Cricetulus griseus: one gene and its partner. The protein of the gene in region 1 binds, or shares a complex with, the protein of each later gene. Links are inferred from orthologs where the notes say so. Each region holds a gene or a part of one and is shown on either strand. Other genes may lie near its edges.

Evidence for each region.
Region 2: the proteins of Itgam (region 1) and Ptn are in contact, whole or in part, in an NMR structure (PDB 8VOH), measured with the Homo sapiens proteins. The link is inferred for Cricetulus griseus from reciprocal best matches to the Homo sapiens genes ITGAM and PTN. Residues at the interface, in NP_000623.2 of Homo sapiens: Pro273, Asp276, Arg277, Gly279, Val280, Ile281, Arg282, Tyr283, Lys306, Pro307, Arg309, Asp310, His311, Ala334, Ile335, Glu336, Gly337, Thr338, Gln339; in NP_001308315.1 of Homo sapiens: Val56, Pro57, Thr58, Ser59, Asp61, Cys62, Gly63, Leu64, Thr66, Glu68, Thr79, Lys81, Thr82, Gln83, Arg84.

What each region holds. Positions count from the first base shown.
Region 1 is NC_048596.1:72,699,034-72,707,605, reverse strand, and holds part of Itgam (integrin alpha-M), read left to right. Parts: intron 1-5,007; coding exon 5,008-5,148; intron 5,149-5,226; coding exon 5,227-5,439; intron 5,440-8,572.
Region 2 is NW_023276806.1:191,418,605-191,427,670, forward strand, and holds the start of Ptn (pleiotrophin), read left to right. Parts: upstream 1-3,515; coding exon 3,516-3,630; intron 3,631-4,722; coding exon 4,723-4,896; intron 4,897-6,771; coding exon 6,772-6,933; intron 6,934-9,066.

The DNA of each region.
Region 1 (8,572 bases):
ACTGAACTCAGGTCCTCTAGAAGAGCAACAGACCTTTGTCACTTTTTGATAGCTGTTGTAAATGGTATTAATTTCTTCACAATCATTTTCAGATGGTTCGCTATTGGTACCTAGAATGCTACTGCTTTTGTATGTTGATTCTGTGTCCTTTAACTTTACAAATTATGTGCTCTGACAGTATTTATGGTAGAGTCTAGAATGATGTCTGTGAGTTTTGCTTCCTCCTGTCCTGTCTAGCTGCCCTCGTTTCTGTCTCTTGCTTAATTTCCTTGCCTAGGGCTTCTTCTTCTTTTCTTTCTTTCTTTTTTTTTTTTTTTTGGTTTTTTGAGACAGGATTTCTCTGTGGCTTTGGAGGCTGTCCTGGAACTAGCTCTTGTAGACTAGGCTGGTCTCAAACTCACAGATATCTGCCTGCCTCTACCTCCCGAGTGCTGGGATTAAAGGCATGCGCCACCAACACCCGGCTAGGGCTTTTTATACTGTGTTGAGCAACAGTGTTGTTCAGATCTTAACAGGAAATAGTTTCAATTTCTTATCATTTGGGATGGTGCTTGTTTTTGGTTTGTCATAGATTCTGGGGTGTGTGTGTGTGTGTGTGTGTGTGTGTGTGTGTGTGTGTGTGTGTGCTAGCTCTGTTGACCAGGCTGGCCTTGAACTCAAAGATCCACCTGCCTCTGTCTTCTAAGTGCTAGGATTAAAGGTGCCCGCCAACGTACATTCTTTTACTAATTTATTAGAATTTATTTAGGATTTTTATTATGAAGAAATGTTGAATCTTATAAGATGGTTTTCTTGCATGCCCTGAAATGATCACACAACTTTTCCTGTTTAGTTTATTGATGTGATATATCAGCTTTGTTGGTAATAGTTTCTCCCACCTCCTTGCCTTCTTCCTTCCCTCCTCTTCTCCTTATTCTTCATCCCCCCCCCCCTTTGCAGTATTGGGTAGCTTCATGAGTGCTAGGCAAATACACACTACCTCTCATCTATGCCACCAGACTAAGGGTATCATTTGAAAATGTGCTGTTGGGTTCATTCTGTTAACACTTTATTCAGAATTTTTTTTTTGTAGCTATATTCACAAGAGGTGTCTGTCTGTATTTTCTTTTTGTTGTGTGCTTGTCTGGCTTTAGTATTAGTGTAATTCTGACTTTATGAAATGACTTTGGAACTTTTCCCTCTCTTTCAAGCTTGAGACACTTGCAATCCCAGTCATTTAGAGGTAGAGGCTTAGGAGTTCAAGGCCAGCCTGGGCTTTAGGAGCCTGTTACCTTCATCTCCAACAACTGATGCTCTTTAGCTTTGTGGGGTGGAGCAATGAGCCACAGGTTTCTCTTTGTTGGAAGTCTTTTTCTTTTTCTTTCTTTCTTTCTTTCTTTTTTTTTTTTTAACTGATTCACTCTTATTCCGGAGTTTTAGACTGTTCCAGTTCTGCTGCACAGAAGTCTCTTGATGAACTGTCTTCTCTGTCACCATGCTTCTGTCCCAAGGCAGGCTGACATGAGTGAGGCCCATCTAGTCTGACAGGAGTCTTGGCATCCTTCTCTTTCGTGGTCATCATTTGCTTGGAGTAACTTTTCTTTTTCTTCTTCCTTTACTTTCAAGCTATGTCCATAAATCTGCACCTAAAGGTCTAATTTAGGTAGCCAGTAATTGGATTTTAAAAACCCATTCAATCAGTCTTGTTGAGTTGATTTATCAGTTGAGGATATTCATTGCTCTGGCAGAGGACCTAGGTTTGACTCCCATCATCCACACCGGGCTCATAACCATCTGTGACTCCAGTTCCTGGGGGGCCTAATGTTCTCTTCTGGCCTCCATAAGCACCAGACACACATATAGTACACAGACACATGAAGACAAAACACCCATATACATAAAATCAAATAATTGAAAAAGCAAAACAAAACGAAAAAACTCCAAGCCCATTGGGAATTCCATGTTTTGGTTGAAAAGGGTAATTTACTTGTATTTAGCACGATTGTTGGTGGACACTCCTGGGTTTGTTCAGTTTTCTGCTTTGTAGTTTCTTTGCTCCATTCTGTCTCTTATTGTCTTGTTTGGCCTTGATGAATTTTTTTATAGTTATATATTTTGATTTCTTTCTTCTTTGTGTTTCTGCTTCAGATTTTTCTCTGTGCATAGGAGGCTTACATAAAGCATCTGACAGTTATAATTGCCTATTTTTAACAAATAACAGTTTCATGCACATTAAAATAAACTGCTCATTAACAGCTTCTTCCGCCACTTTTTATGTTGTTATTGTCGTAATTGATGAAGTAATATTCAACAAAAGTGCAAAAGATGTAATGGAGAGGGTTTCCAACAGGGACAGTGGAGCTGACAATCTAAAACAAACCGTCTCATCTCATGTCATGTGAGCCAGATCCAAAGAAAAGGCAACTTCTTGTGAGATTTAACACCCACTCACCACACTAGCAGTGCAACTCAGCATCACTGAGGAGAAAAGGAGACAGATATTCACATAGAATTCTATGTGCAAATGCCTGCCATTGCTCTGTTACTAATAATGACAAATTGGAGGCAATCTGGACACCCTGAGCCGGAGGATGGAATAGCAAACTGTGGCACACCCATGCAGCGGAGTGCTCATCAGCAATAGAACGGTGTGTTACTAATGTATGCAAATGATATGGATAGATTTCAGGTGAATTATTCCAGGTGAAAGACAAAGTCTAAAAAAGTCTATACACCATGTAAGCCATTCTTAAGGCAATCTAGAAAAGAACAACTGTCATACAGGGACAGAAAACACCTCAGTGGTTTCTGGGGATTGCTAACAGGGAAGAAGCCAACTGTGAGTTCCATATCCTGATGGTGGCCATGATTATGTGACTGGATGTTTGTCAAAACTCTAAAGCTATATACTAAAACAGTTGAATTTTATTTTATACAAAATTTGCCTCAGTAAACCTGACCTAAAAAATGCCATTGACTTCAGGCCAAGCTCCAGTTACTTTATTTGGTGGTCGGTGAGTCTCCTGCAATGGTGTGTGTGTGTGTGTGTGGGGGGGGGCAGAAATCGTGTTGTCGAGAGTCCTCTGTGCTTTTCCTGCCTGGGACTTCTAGCTTGAAACCTGTAATATATCCCGTTTAACTGTTCCTTTGCTCTTCTTCTCTCCACACTGCTATGCTGAGAGTCCTTGAAGGCACTGTGTCTGCTACCCAGTCTAGTGCTCAGAGAACAAGTGTTTGTTGAATGAATAAGTGGATAATAAGTGGCTGAGTTCTACAGATAAATGGTGCATGTTTACCTTGAGCATATTAAAAAGACATTTTACTTAACACAAAACCTTCTGGGTAGCAAGTTTTTCAGTTCTAGGGACTGAACTACTCAGTGCTTTAAGAATACAGGCCACGTAGTTTACCACTGGGCTATACCTCCAGCCTAATAATCGCGATTTTAGTACAGTCAGATCGATTACGGCCAAATCAGACTTTATCCTTTGCCCTTACAAAGAATTCTAATCTAAAAGGTGTGGTGTCTGCTCTTCTAGATACTATAATTGTGTTCTCCTATGTAACATCTCCTTTGCTGCCTTAGTAATTTACCTGAAATGCCATTTGGGATAAATCTGAATCTACTGTCCACCGACTTTATGATAAATTCCTCTAGCTAGCAGCATATTCAATTGACCGGGCTGGGGGTATAGTTCAATGGTAGACCAGTTGCATAGCTTGTCTGAATTCCTGGATTTCATCCTTACTATCCCCCCCTCATCTCTCTCGCATGCTCTTGCACGCACCTGCATTTTCTTAAAATGTATCATGAATCATGTTTTAGTCACTGTTCTGTTGCTGTGAAGAGACACCACGACCAAGGCAAGCTCTTTAGTTGGGAGCTTGCTTACAATTTTAGAGGTTTAGTTCATATCATCATGGTGGGCATGGTGGCACTCACATCTCTGGAGCAGTAGCTGAAAGCCTCATCCTGATCTATTGACTGAGAGAAAGGGGGAAAGAAAGAAACACTGGGCTTTTGAAAACCTCAGGACTGGAGAGATGATCCAGAGTTTCAGAGCACTGGCTATTCTTCCAGAGGTCCTGAGTTCAATTCTCAGCAATAACATGGTGACTCACAACCATCTATAATGAGACTGGTGCCCTCTTCTGGTGTTTAGGCATACTTGCAGGCAGAACACTGCATTCATAATAAATAAATCTAAAAAGAAAAGGAAAAAAAAAAAAAGAAAAAAAAGAAGCCGGGAGTTGGTGGCGCACGCCTTTAATCCCAGCACTGGGGGGGGGGGGCAGAGGCAGGCAGATCTCTGTAGGTTGGAGGCCAGCCTGGTCTTTAGAGCGAGTGCCAGGATAAGCTCCAAAGCTACCCAGAGAAACCCTGTCTCGAAAAACCAAAAGAAAAAAAAAAGAAAAGAAAAAAAAAAAGAAAAAAAGAAAACCTCAAAACCCTCCAGGTGGTGGTGCACACCTTTAATCCCAGCACTGGGGAGGCGGAGGTAGGCGAATCCCTGTAAGTTTAAGACCAACCTGGTCTACAAAGCAAGTTCCAGGACAGCCAGGGCTATTAACATAGAGAAACCCTTCCTTGAAAATAATAACAACACAGAAAACCAAAAAGAAAATAAGAAAAGAAAACCGGAAAATCCACCCCCAGTGGCACACTTCCTCTAAACAAGGCCATTTCTCCTAATCCTTCTAATCCTATCAGAGAGTTCCATTCCCTGGTGACTATGTATTCAAATATTCTAGCCTATGGGGATCATTCTTATTCAAATCACCACAAACATATAGGAAATTGTATGTTCTACAAACAATTTTCCCCAGTAATCGTGGTCTCATTTTCTTCTCTCTTCTTTCAGACAAATTTTATGCCCTCTCCCTATGCAGCCTTGAACTCCTGATCCTCCTGCTTCTGCCTTCTAGGTTCTGGTATGCACCACTATGTCTGGCTTCTTCACAGACAGGAAACTCCTGGATTCTTCTTAGGTGGGAAGAGGTAAGTTATCTTTACCCAATCTCTTTCAGATTGGCTCCTACTTTGGGGCCTCCCTCTGTTCCGTGGACATGAATGGTGATGGCAACACCAACTTGATCCTCATTGGAGCCCCTCATTACTATGCCCAGACTCGAGGAGGCCAGGTGTCAGTGTGTCCCTTGCCTAGGGGGGTGAGTGTTGGGCCGGGTGGGTCTGGGTGTGAGGTGGAGGGTTGCCAGGGTTTTGGGTCTGTCACTGTTTCTGTTTAGCAGAGGGCACAGTGGCGGTGTGAGGCCATTCTCCACGGTGAGCAGGGCCATCCCTGGGGTCGCTTTGGGGCAGCTCTGACAGTGCTGGGAGATGTGAATGGGGACAAGCTGACAGATGTGGCCATCGGGGCCCCAGGCGAGCAGGAGAATCAGGGTGCTGTCTACATTTTTCATGGGGCATCGGCAGTCAGCATCAGCGCCCTTCACAGCCAGGTAAGTCCCTACCACTGACTGTGTACAGCACCGACTTGTGTGATGTGGACCCTCCGATTTAACTGATGGATCAGTTTTCCTGCACTCCTTCCAGTACCTTTAAGACAATAACACTCTTCATAGCTGCCTCAGGGAATCTCCAGTGTAGACGAACTCTCTGTAATGGTAGGTGGTGCTTTGGGTATCCACACTGGACTTTATGGCTGAGGCCTGGGACTGTAGATGGCAAGCTACATGCGTGAGGATGTCAAGTGTTTGGCACTGGCTGTGGACCTGCAGTTAGGCCAGATGGAGAGATGTATGACAATGCTGTACCTTGTTTAGTCCCTTCCTCTGGGATCCCCATTCTGGCTGAGGGAACAAGAGTTCTGTTCTTTCCCATTCTGTCCCAGTTTTATGTTATCTTTACCCCATATGTTCCTATGTCATAGGAAACCCATACAGTTGGACACTTTAATCCCAGCACTCGGGAGGCAGAGGCAGATGGATCTCTGTGAGTTCAAGGCCAGCCTGGTCTCTAGAGCGAGTGCCAGGAAAGGCTCCAAAGCTACACAAAAAAAACCTTTTTCAAAAAACCAAAAAAAAAAAAAAAAAAAAAAAAAAGACTCCCGAGTTTGGCTTAAAATTCTGCTGTTGCTATAGTAAGTTTGTGTGTGTTGCAAGCATGTGTGTCTCCTCCTGACTCTGCCCTTCTTCCCAGTGTTCCTCTGCCCCCCAAACCCTGCCTAGCAGTGTAAAGGAAAATTCCACAACACTTTTCAACCACTTCTCCACCTTATTCACGCCCCTCCTCCCCCTTTTTTTTTTGAGACAGGGTCTCGCTTGACTGGTCTGAACGCATTATGCAAAGCAAGCTAGCCTTGAACTCATAGAGGTGCACCTGCTTCTGCCTCCAAAGTTCTGAGATTGAAAGCATGCACTACCATCCATGCCCAGCCCCTTTCTTTATATTTTTGATGTTTTTAAAATTAAATTTTGTTTTCAAGATTTATTATTTTTACTTATGTGTGTGTATGGCTGCCTGAGTTTATGGGCACCACATGCCTGCAGGTGCCTCTAGGGGTCAGAGGGCAGTGGATCCCTGGAGCTGGAGTCACAAGCAGCTGTGAGCTGCCTGATGTGGGTGCCAGGAATCAACCCCAGGTCCTCTGCAAGAGCAGTAAGTGCAATTAAGTACTGAGCCTCCAAATTAAATTCTTTGACCTTTTCATGCACACATACATCTGAACTCCCACCTCCATCTTTCCTTGTCTCCCCCTAGCTCTCTTTCCTCCCTACATAGTCATACTGACTTTTTTTTTTTATTTGAGACTCACTAAGGTTAACCAGTTTGGAGCCCTCCAATGGAGCCTGGTTGGGCTCACCAGGCTCAACTGATGGTTGTAACTCCTTATTTCCCAGACTCCATCAGTGCCTACTTGTTCAGTAGGGGGCATGGCAGGCCCTCTCAAGCCCCTTCTCCATTGGTGATTGGCTGTTGACAGGCCCATTTGTGTTTGGGCTCAGTGTGGGCCAGTGCGTTTGCATTGAGTTCATTATTGGAATGGCTGAATTGTACCCAGAGATGGCATTTCATAGTTTTTCTTTTTATTATCTTGTGCTTATATTCTTTCCAACCCCTATTCCCTAATATTTCTGGAGCCTTAGTGTGTGTGTGTGTGTGTGGGTTGTGGTGGTATAAATTACGTTTTTAAATTGCATGTGGAAGCTGAGGAACAGTGAGTGGATCCTGGAGATTGAACTCAGGTCATCAGCTTGTCAGCAAGGACCTCTGTCTTTCTCACTGGTCCCCCATCTCATCTTCAGGGACTCTCACTGAACCTGGAGATGCTGGTCCAGTCCCAGAATCCATCTGTCTCCATCCCCAGCACTGTCTTTACAGATGTGTAGCACCATGTTGAGCCTTGGTGTGAGTGCTTGGATCTGAAATCAGGTCCTCACACTTGTGCAGCAAGCACTTTAGCCCCTGGGCTGTCTGTCTCCCAAGTCCTGTACTGCAATTCTTAGTAGAAATTAAGTGTCTCACTATGTAGCCTGGGCTGGGGACTCTCCTGCCTCAAAGCCTGTGGGTGTGGGGATGACAGTTGAGAGCCACCAGGCTTGACCAATGATAGTCTTTGAATAACTGAATCCAGCATCTTTCTCTTGTTCTGTGTCTTAAAGTTAAGTATCTCACATTGGTGATGGGTCACCCTGAATCCTGGATGAAGAGCTGGTTCCCTCCTCAGTGACTGTCACTGCTGCATGAATTCCCTGCTTGTGGGGAACTCCCTTGCAGTTTGGCCTGCCTCACCCATGCTGTGTTCTCTCCCAGTGAGCTCAGGCAGTGTGGTCTCTTGGTCTCTGGTCTCTAGTCTTTTCCAGTCTTACATTTTCCTTTATTTCTTTAAAAAAGTGTATTGTGGTAAAAATGCTCAAATACTTGGCCTTGCCTCTTAACAGACTTGAAATGTACCCTCCTGCACTTGTCTGGCTCCCACCTGCTTCTAGGCAGTGGTTGGCAGTCCTCCATGTTGCTTGTATGATTTGGTTCTTTTAGACAACTCATGTAATGGAATGATTTGGCCTTTTGTGTCTGTTTTATTTTACATAGAATACTGTCTTCTATGTTCATTCCTATTGGCACAAATGACAGATTTTCCTTTCATATAAGGGATAAAGTGTATTCCACTACAGATGAATGTCATTGCTGGATGACTGGTTGTCAGCCACAGTGCATGCAGGTTATTCCCGAACTTGACTTTTGTGAATGGTGTGGGCGTGCCAATAGTCTCTCAATATTCTCATGCTGATTCTTTTGAATGAAACAGAGACGTGGGATTTCTGGGTCACGTGACAGCCCTAAAAGCCTGGATTCTGTATGTGAGAGAAAACAGGCAGTTTGTCTCTCTGTGCTGGACTTACTTTGCTTAGCAGGATCGTTTTTGCTTCCATTTATCACCACAGATGACCTAGATCTCAGCATTTCGGCTAGCCTGGCTTTGTTCTCATGCCTTTCCATTTATTATTTACTTATTTATTCAGAGACAGGGTCTCACTCCAGATTGGCCTGGAGTTCATGGTCCTCCTGCCTGATCCCCAGAATGCTAAAATTGCAGTTCTGTGTTTCCTTCCACACCCAGCCCTTTCTCTC
Region 2 (9,066 bases), on another chromosome or scaffold:
TGACATTTTGTTTGGTTTTGCTTTGATATAATACAAAATGCCAAATTTGATATTTATTATTTTTTGATAAAAAAGAACATTTTGTATTAGTCAGACTTTTCAACACAGTGGAAAACAGTCAAAATAGTTTAAAGAAGGAAGTATTTCTATTGGCTCACAGTGTCAAATATTTTAGTCTATGTTGGCTGATTCCATTGTTTTAGGGCCAAGGTGACACAGGATCTTGTAGGTGCATGTCTGTTCATCTCATAGAGGTGGGGAGGCAGAGAGAAGTAAAAAAAAAGGGGGGGTGGGGTAAGATATGGCCTTCAAAGACATGCTCCCAGTGACCTAATGCCTCAAAAAGGCTCCACCTTGTACAGTTCTACTGTATTTTAATACTCTATTCAAAATTTTAATTTATCTATGGATTAAATCACTGATAAAGTCAGAGTCCTTCTAACAGTCCACTCACTTCCACAAAGCCCTACTTGCTAGATTTGGAGACCAAGCTTCTAATTCACTAAGGACACTTTATATGCAAACCACATAGCTATATAGGTAGGTCAAGCTGAAAATGTAATTTCTAATATTCCATATTATCTCTGTGCCTGTATCCTGTAGCTTTTATGAGAAGCATTTCCAGCAGTTGTTTCATCACCAGTCCTATAACTTACTCCCACTTTTTTGATATCAAAACCAGTTCAATTAGTTGTGATGTTCTGATTTTGTTCAAAGACAGAAAAAAATGAGTGGTAGAATTAACATTTGAATAAAAATTTCTGCCTCCAAACACTACATTAGTCTTTCCAAACAGGGCACACAGGGACCTGTATCCTTGTCCACATTTACTGCTGATGTTGCCCTTTTTAAACTCTTAGACCCCACTATAATGCTGTAGGAAGGAGAAGTTCCCTGCACATCCTAATCAGCCCTGTCTCAGAGGAGGAAATACAACATGTGAATGCTATCCTCCAGTTAATTCCTTCATTTGTTGAGTTTCAGGCTTCACTGGGATAACACAACAGTAATACTACATCCCAGCATCCATTTATGGTAGCCTCCAGCTTGTCAAACCCAGTGAATTATGTCTGGCAGGTCAAATATAGCAAAGATGGCAGAAGGTGGTAAGAAATAAAGAGGCTTCTCAAAAGGACTCAGCCAATTTAGTAAGTTTTATTCTGCCATTGTTTCTTGTTCTTGGTGTGAAAAATAATTAGCCACTTCCCTAATTGCTATGTGTGTCTGAGGGGGCCTTGTTCTTACTTCTATGTTCATCTGGTACCCAGCATGTTGGAGAACAAGTGAAGTTAAAGTATATGCAGGGAAAGCTTTTGCTCTTATTTGATGCTGAGGATGAATAAGTCAGCTATGCAGATGCCACATGCTCCTGCTATCTGCTCATACACTAATTACTCACAGATTTATTGGATCAGGGAGGTACCGTGCCAGAAGGCTAACTGAGTGTTGTTTGGAGCTCTCAAATGTTATTAAATACTGTTTGGTGTACTTGGATAATTTTAATCATTCCAGTTATCTTTTTCCTTTTTTTAAAAGCCTTTACCCTTTTTATACACCCATAAAAACCCGAGATATTAAGAAACTGGCTTACCGAGAATGAGAATGACTTCTGACCTCTTCGTGGGCTGCATTTATTAAGACCAGGGAGGTCATCACCCCATTGCTAGGTCAGAAAATTTTCTTTAGAGTTGTGCTTTCTCATCTGGAATGTTTAGATTCTCACAATAATATATGTCATAACAGTATAGGTAAGGCAATTTACAGGTAATTTTTACACATGAAAATGAAATCTAAGTTGAAATCAAAACTGAAAAGTCCCGAGTAAAGGAGATAATTTGCCTTTTATGAATTTTCAGAAGTGTCACCACAATTCGTAGGTACTGAAAGAAGGTGCTTAGGCAGCCATTGGGGGAAGCAAGGGCTCTGGTTCACTTTGTGCCCAATCGTTTAAAATGGTGTTTGAATGTCCCCGGAAAAAGTATATCCCAGAGGTGCACAGGGGGCTCATCTCTGGGAACTCTGACAAGCTTGCAAGTCATCGAGTCCAGGCTGGCTTCCTACCTCTAATCACAAGATGAGGAGGAGTCACCTACCTGATTTGCATGGAGCAATTCAGTGAGACTGTCCTAAGAATGCAGCTTTAGGGAGAGCAAAGCTTCTAATACTGGACTGTTGCCGGGGATGGAACTGGTGTTGATTAAGCAGGGTTCATGTTTTAAAGGGCAAAGTGGTAAAAATGTTAATTTTAGTTTGTTGGTAAAATATGTTTAATCATACTATAGAATCCAGTCATTGATAGAAAAACAAAACACAACTCCAATAAGTGACAATTCTAACATTGTGGAAGTTGATACAAGATTAGTTAGTAACCATGGTATCATATTTTAGATACTTATGAATTAGGAAAACAAGATGCATAATAGAGGGAGCACAGCACACACATGTGCATACCCATGCACATACATGTGCATACTCACACACACATATTATACCCCCAGGCACACATGAGTACACACACAGGAGTAGTCTCATTATTTACTAAAGAAATTGTAAAATCATTAAAAGCTAATCTATTGCAAGTTTTGGAAAAAAGGAATACAGCTCACACTAATAATAACCAAAGATTATTTGCACACTTTTGTGTGATCTATACAACACCATTAACACAGCAGATGGAGGTAAATGACCATCAACCACGTTTCTGCAATCAGTGGCTTTTTCAGAGCAGCTTAGGCAAGGTGAATATCTTGATGGAGGGTTATCACAGCATCTTTGAGTATAACAGGGATCTTCCTAGGGTTTTCTAGGGATTTTGACTTATGTGAGATGAGCAGTATTTCAATTTCTGAGCATGTATAGTCACTGCTCTCCAGATCTGAGGATTTAGTGGTTCTTGAGTAAAATCCATTTATGAATTCTTAGTGTTATAGCATGCCAGCTCTATATTTCTGTGTTTCACTCTAATGAGCAATGGGATGATACTATGTTTAAAATGAACATGGGTAAATAAGAATCAGAAATGCTGCTCATTGGTAGATATGCCTAAATATAAAAAACACAGTCAGTACACACAAGCTACTGTACACTATCATTTGTCACGGCTGTACCGAAGATTACTGTGACTGCAACACCATGAATGTTTCTAGGAACTTCCAGGCATCCTGAAGATGACTGTAGTTGTTATTAGCAAGTGATGCAAGCAACAGGATTGATTGTAGGAATCTGCTCAAAATCATGCCACGTGGTTCTCTTGCTTTCACAACCCCAGAGTCACACATAACAAATGGCTGTGAAATCTGATACGAAGAATGATTAAATTCTGCCCATGACCACGTGATTTACTGCTTTTGCAGCTGTTGGTGAGAAAGGATAAAATTACACTTTGTAATAATCAATACAGTTTTCCTAAAACCCAGTGTTCCAGAAGCTTCACATAGCATGCTTCATCAGAGAGTTGAATCTTCATCCTGACTTAGGTTGAAATCACCTTCTTCTTGTTCTCTTCATTTCCAGAAATGTCATCCCAACAGTACCAGCAGCAACGTCGAAAATTTGCAGCTGCTTTCTTGGCATTCATTTTCATCTTGGCAGCTGTGGACACTGCTGAGGCTGGGAAGAAAGAGAAACCCGGTAAGCAGTGGAGTCACAGAGAGATGTTTCCTTGGATGGTACCCAGGCAGCCCAGCTACCTGCTTATAGTTCTCCCACAGTTTCTAACATCCTTTCAATTATTTAGGGAAACCCTAAATTGCCCCATTTTGCTCCCGAATGAACATGCCCTTGGATAGTCATGAGTGGGCTGTGGTGTTGGGGGTCTCTTTTAGTCTGTGTCCTATACACATTTCTATTATGCCTTTTTACCCACAGAACAGAACCACACCATCAATTTTCAATGAAATTTTTAGTCTGACCACTACTACTTCTAATAGACATTCCCTCCTCATTTTTCAAGCTTTTTATAAACTACTTAGAATTTTTTATTTTGACAGAAATATTTCCTTCTTAGCCAGGCATTGGTGGCACACGCCTTTAATCCCAGCACTCAGGAGGCAGAGGCGGGTGAATCTCTGTGAGTCCAGCTTGATTTACAGAGTGAGTTCCAGAAGAGTCTCCAAAGCAATACAGAGAAACCCCATCTCAAACAACAACAACAAAACAAAACAAAATAAAAATGAAAAATATTTCCTTCTTTTTGTAAAATTTTACACTCTCAAATGTTTCATCAAAGATACACAAATCTTCAAATTTCATCTGGCACAAGTGTGTTAGCTGTTTGTTGCTGCATTCAGACACTTGAGGAGTGAATTTAAGAGGAAGATGGCTTTATTTCACTTAGGGTTTCAGAGGTGTGGGCCCGTCACTGCAGGCACGCGTGGCAGAATAGCTCATATTGTGGTGGTCAGGGAGCAGGCAGAGGGACAACGCCTTCATTCAGAAACATCTTTCTAAAAGGAAATATTAGTGATTCACGTAGAACAGTCTCTATCACACACATGACTTAGTAGTATTAGTTCCGTCTCTGCCCCCATGTTTTCTTTCTTTCTCCTCTTAACCATGCATTGACTGGATCATTGAGAAGACATCCCACTGTCTTCCTGGACAATACAGATAGAGATAAAAGTCATAGACTCCACAATCGAGGTTCTGAGGTGTGAACTTAGCCATATTCAAGAGTTCAGTACATTTCTGGACGGTGGTTGCTTTTTGTTTCCTCCCTTGCAGAAAAAAAGGTGAAAAAATCTGACTGTGGAGAATGGCAGTGGAGTGTGTGTGTGCCCACCAGCGGGGACTGTGGACTGGGCACCCGGGAGGGCACTCGCACTGGTGCTGAGTGCAAGCAAACCATGAAGACCCAGAGATGTAAGATCCCTTGCAACTGGAAGAAGCAGTTTGGAGGTCAGTCTCACCCTGTGTTCTTATTGCTTTAATCTACTATTCTGAAATACTTTTGGAACAATTCTATCAAATTCATTTTCAAAGCCAACTCATGTTTATATTAAATTAAATAAATATATTTTCTTAGACACACGGTGACCAGCCAGCTTTCCTCTTAGATTCAGCACTAGTGATATCAGGGGCTGGATTTTTGTTGTTTTTGTCTTGTACATTTTAGGGTAATTAGTAACATCCTTGTCATCTACCATTATATTTTCAACCATATTTTAATACAACCTACTCTACCAGCCAGGAAAACTGAGAAAATGTCATTTGATAGCCAAAATGACAACAGAGTCATATAAATTAGACTTTAAATAGTATGGGGTATGGTTAAGACTCACTTAAAAAAAGTTTGTGAGGCAGGGCATTGGTGGCACAAGCCTTTGATCCCAGCACATGGGAGGTAGAGGCAGACTGATCGCTGTGAGTTTGAGGCCAGCCTGGTCTCCAGAGTGAGTGCCAGGATAGGCTCCAAAGCTACACAGAGAAACCTTGTCTCGAAAAACCAAAAAAACAAAAGTTTCTTAAAGGACTCCTGTCATGAACATGTATAAAAATCTCAAGAATCAATATAGAATCAAAACAAACAAGCAAACATACAACCCTAACAATCCAGGAAGATAGTGAATAAATACCAACAGACATAATTTATGAGGAGAATAGATAATAATAAATAGACACCTGGAAAGATACTCAATTTCTCTGTCCCATTAAGGGAAGAGAGATTGAAACCCTGGTGACATGTTGCTATGTACCCATCAGAATGCCTGGAATAAAAACATTATGATACCCCTGGCAGTGAAGATGCAGAGACACTAGGTTATGTAGTTACTGTCAGTAGAAATAGAAAATGGCACAGCAATACTAAAAAAGATACTACTTTTTGGAGAGGTTGCTTGTTTTATGTTTGTATGAAATTAAACATGAGTTGACCTTACCATGTAACTCAGCAGTTTCTTGGGCGTTTTTCTTCCAGAGAAAATAAAATGTTTTCACAGAACACCTTATATGAATAAATAGAATTTGCATTTGTATGTATATAAATTAGCCAAAATAAAGCAATACAGGCATCTTTTAGTTGGCGATGGATAAATAAAGTTTGGGATATCTATATCGTGGATGGTTACTCAGTTGTACAAAAACATACAATATTGATTTACACAACGTGAGTTGATAGTCACAAATTTATGGTAAGTAAGGAAGTAGCCAGTCTCAGAGCCATAGAGATGGCTCAGTTGTTAGGAACACCTGCTTTTCGTGCAGTGGACCTGGGTTAGGTTCCTCACACCCATCATTCCAGTTCAAGAGGATCATACACCATCTCCTAATTTCTGTGGGCACGAGAGTAGCCAATCACAAAAGTTTACATAGTTTAAAATCTCATTTATAGAATGAATTGAGCTGAAGAAGATTTGTGGTTGTAGGTAACTTAAGAGGTAGGAAGGCTGTGACTGTATGTAAGGTGACAATGGGACCCTGGCATTGGGATGATATGTACATTAATGGTGCTGATTACATGCATTCACATGGCTAGAACTATACATGTCCATGCATATACACAGAACTATATGCGTTCATGCATATAAAACTGAAATCTGACTCCACTCTTGGAATTCATAATTTCCATTTTATAAGATAGGCCCACAGTTGTTCAAGATGCCAAAATTGGGGAAATTGGGGGAAGCATGTATGGAATGCCCCCGTGTTATTCTTATAACTGCATAGGAATATGTGATGGCTTAAATACAAAAATGTAACATCAAAATTGTGCCCTTATTATCACTACAATAAGCTCTCATAAGCATTGTTCTTCCAATTTGTTATGCTTTTTAGCTGAGTGCAAATACCAGTTCCAGGCTTGGGGAGAATGTGACCTGAATACTGCCTTGAAGACCAGGACTGGAAGTCTGAAACGAGCTCTTCACAATGCTGACTGCCAGAAGACAGTCACCATCTCCAAGCCCTGTGGCAAACTCACCAAGCCCAAGCCTCAAGGTAAGAAACTGTCACTCTGTCAGCTTTAATAGACTAGGAGACTCAGGCGAAACCCAAAAATTCTAGGAGAGAAGCGATTGAAAACTGCCCATTTGTGAACACAATAACATACTTTCCGTAGGCAGTCTCAGAGTTCAAGTTGAAGTTCTCTGCATACACAAACACCTTGGGAGTTAGGAACTAAACAGGAATACAACTAAATGCCTCAGCAAAACATGCCAGTTAAGACGGCTGATACAAGGATAACATCTATTTCAAATTTCAAAATTGGGACAAGATAAATAAACTAACAGAACTCATAATGCATAAAACTTTAAATCAAACCTCTCTTAGATTATCTACAGTATGATTTTCACAGAATCAGGAAAGATATGGTATCTATTCCTTTCCTCTTCTACGAGAGGTGATAAGCTTTATATATATCTTTTAATAACTGTGTAGCTTTATCACCTTGAAGTATTTCAACTTTCTGTACCCATTCATCACAGAATTTTAAAACTATGCAGAGTACTTGTTCCCAGAATGCCAGGCTCCACATTCATGCTGGTAAATCAGGACCGTATAGCCTCAGTTTGATGCAGGTGGGATGCCAGCTGGAGGAAGCCAAGGAGGTGGTAAATCGTTTCATTTCATAAGTAGATAAATTGAATTCTGTCTACTCCAAATCTGTATTTTTCAAGTCATAATCCCCCACCCTGTATCTCAGAATGTGACTGTACTTAGAAGTATGGACTTTCAAGAGATAACTGAGTTCAAATGAGGTCATAGGAATGGGACCAAATTTGATATGGTCGATGTTCTTCTAAGAGGAGATTAGCAAAGAGACACACACAGAGGGAGGGCCGTGTGAGGACACAGGGGGTGGAGGAGAGGTGCCAGCCACAGAGAGAAGTCCCACAGGAAATCAGGTCAGTCCAACACTTTGATCTCAGACTTGCCATCCCCAGAATGGTGAGAGAATGCATGCCTATTATCCAAGCTGCCTGTGCTATGGTACTTCATGTGGCTCCCACAGACAATTCATGCTGTAAGCTTCAATGAAATCCAAATTAAAATACCCCCTTGACCTCTCCTTGTACTTGACTCTCAAAATACACTTGAAAATTTATCCTGCCGGATTCATTGTAAAGAGAAATTCAGATAAATGCTGGTGATTAGCCAAAATAAGAAAAAAGAAATCCCCCAGAAACTGAGGACAGCTGGTGCTTTGCCAGAGAGTGTTCTTTCTACATGTCAAGTTTTTCATCTTCTGATGCAGTTGGCAATGGAAACTTGAACCTCCAAGTTCAAGACAGTTGGGTACTGTGGGACCACAGATACTCTGAGACTTTGGCTACCTTCCAGGGGAGTTTCTACCCACTTTCTTTGTGTTACTTATCTAGACAAGACAAGCTAAAAAAAACAGGAGCCATTTTCAGAAATGGAGTTTAGAGATTCAGCCTTCAGACTGACTTATTTCAAAGCAGTAATTGAACCCAAACCTGCAGCATCCCTAGCAAATCGAAAAGGGATAGAACTCAAGGAGTTTCCTATGCTACACAGAACAGAGAAGCTCTGCCTGAGCTGTGTACAAGGGTTTCCACAGGAACCTAGAAAATTCCCACTGCCCCAACTTGATCAGACCCACCAGATCACCCCCTGGCAGTTCTAACCCAATGAATGATCCCTAGAAGATTCTGTTACACCGCCCAAACTGAAAGTACTCCTGCTTCAGCATGAAACACTGACCAGAAAAGACGTGTATTCACACGACATCCCTGTGGCAGTTGAAGAGGGGAGATGGAGCTTGATAAAAGGGGAGGAAAATTGAAAAGGAGCGCATGGTGATGGTGAGGTTGGTGAATACAAAACTGTCACAAACATTAATAGTCTACAAGTGATAAAGACCCTAACGGGTACTCAATAAACACACTACAAGAGGCCTTCTTTTTAGTTAGACTGTTGGATACTGCAGCTCTTTTCCTTTTGCTGTTTAGTGATAGCTTGAAGACTAGATGTGTTTCTCACATTCTGTTTTCATTATGGTGGTAAGAATATGTCAAGTGGATAGACATTCTATAGTGCTTATTCATATTAAATCATGTGGGTATATAATTTGTTTAAAATGGATTGGCCCAAGTGAGTCTCATGCTT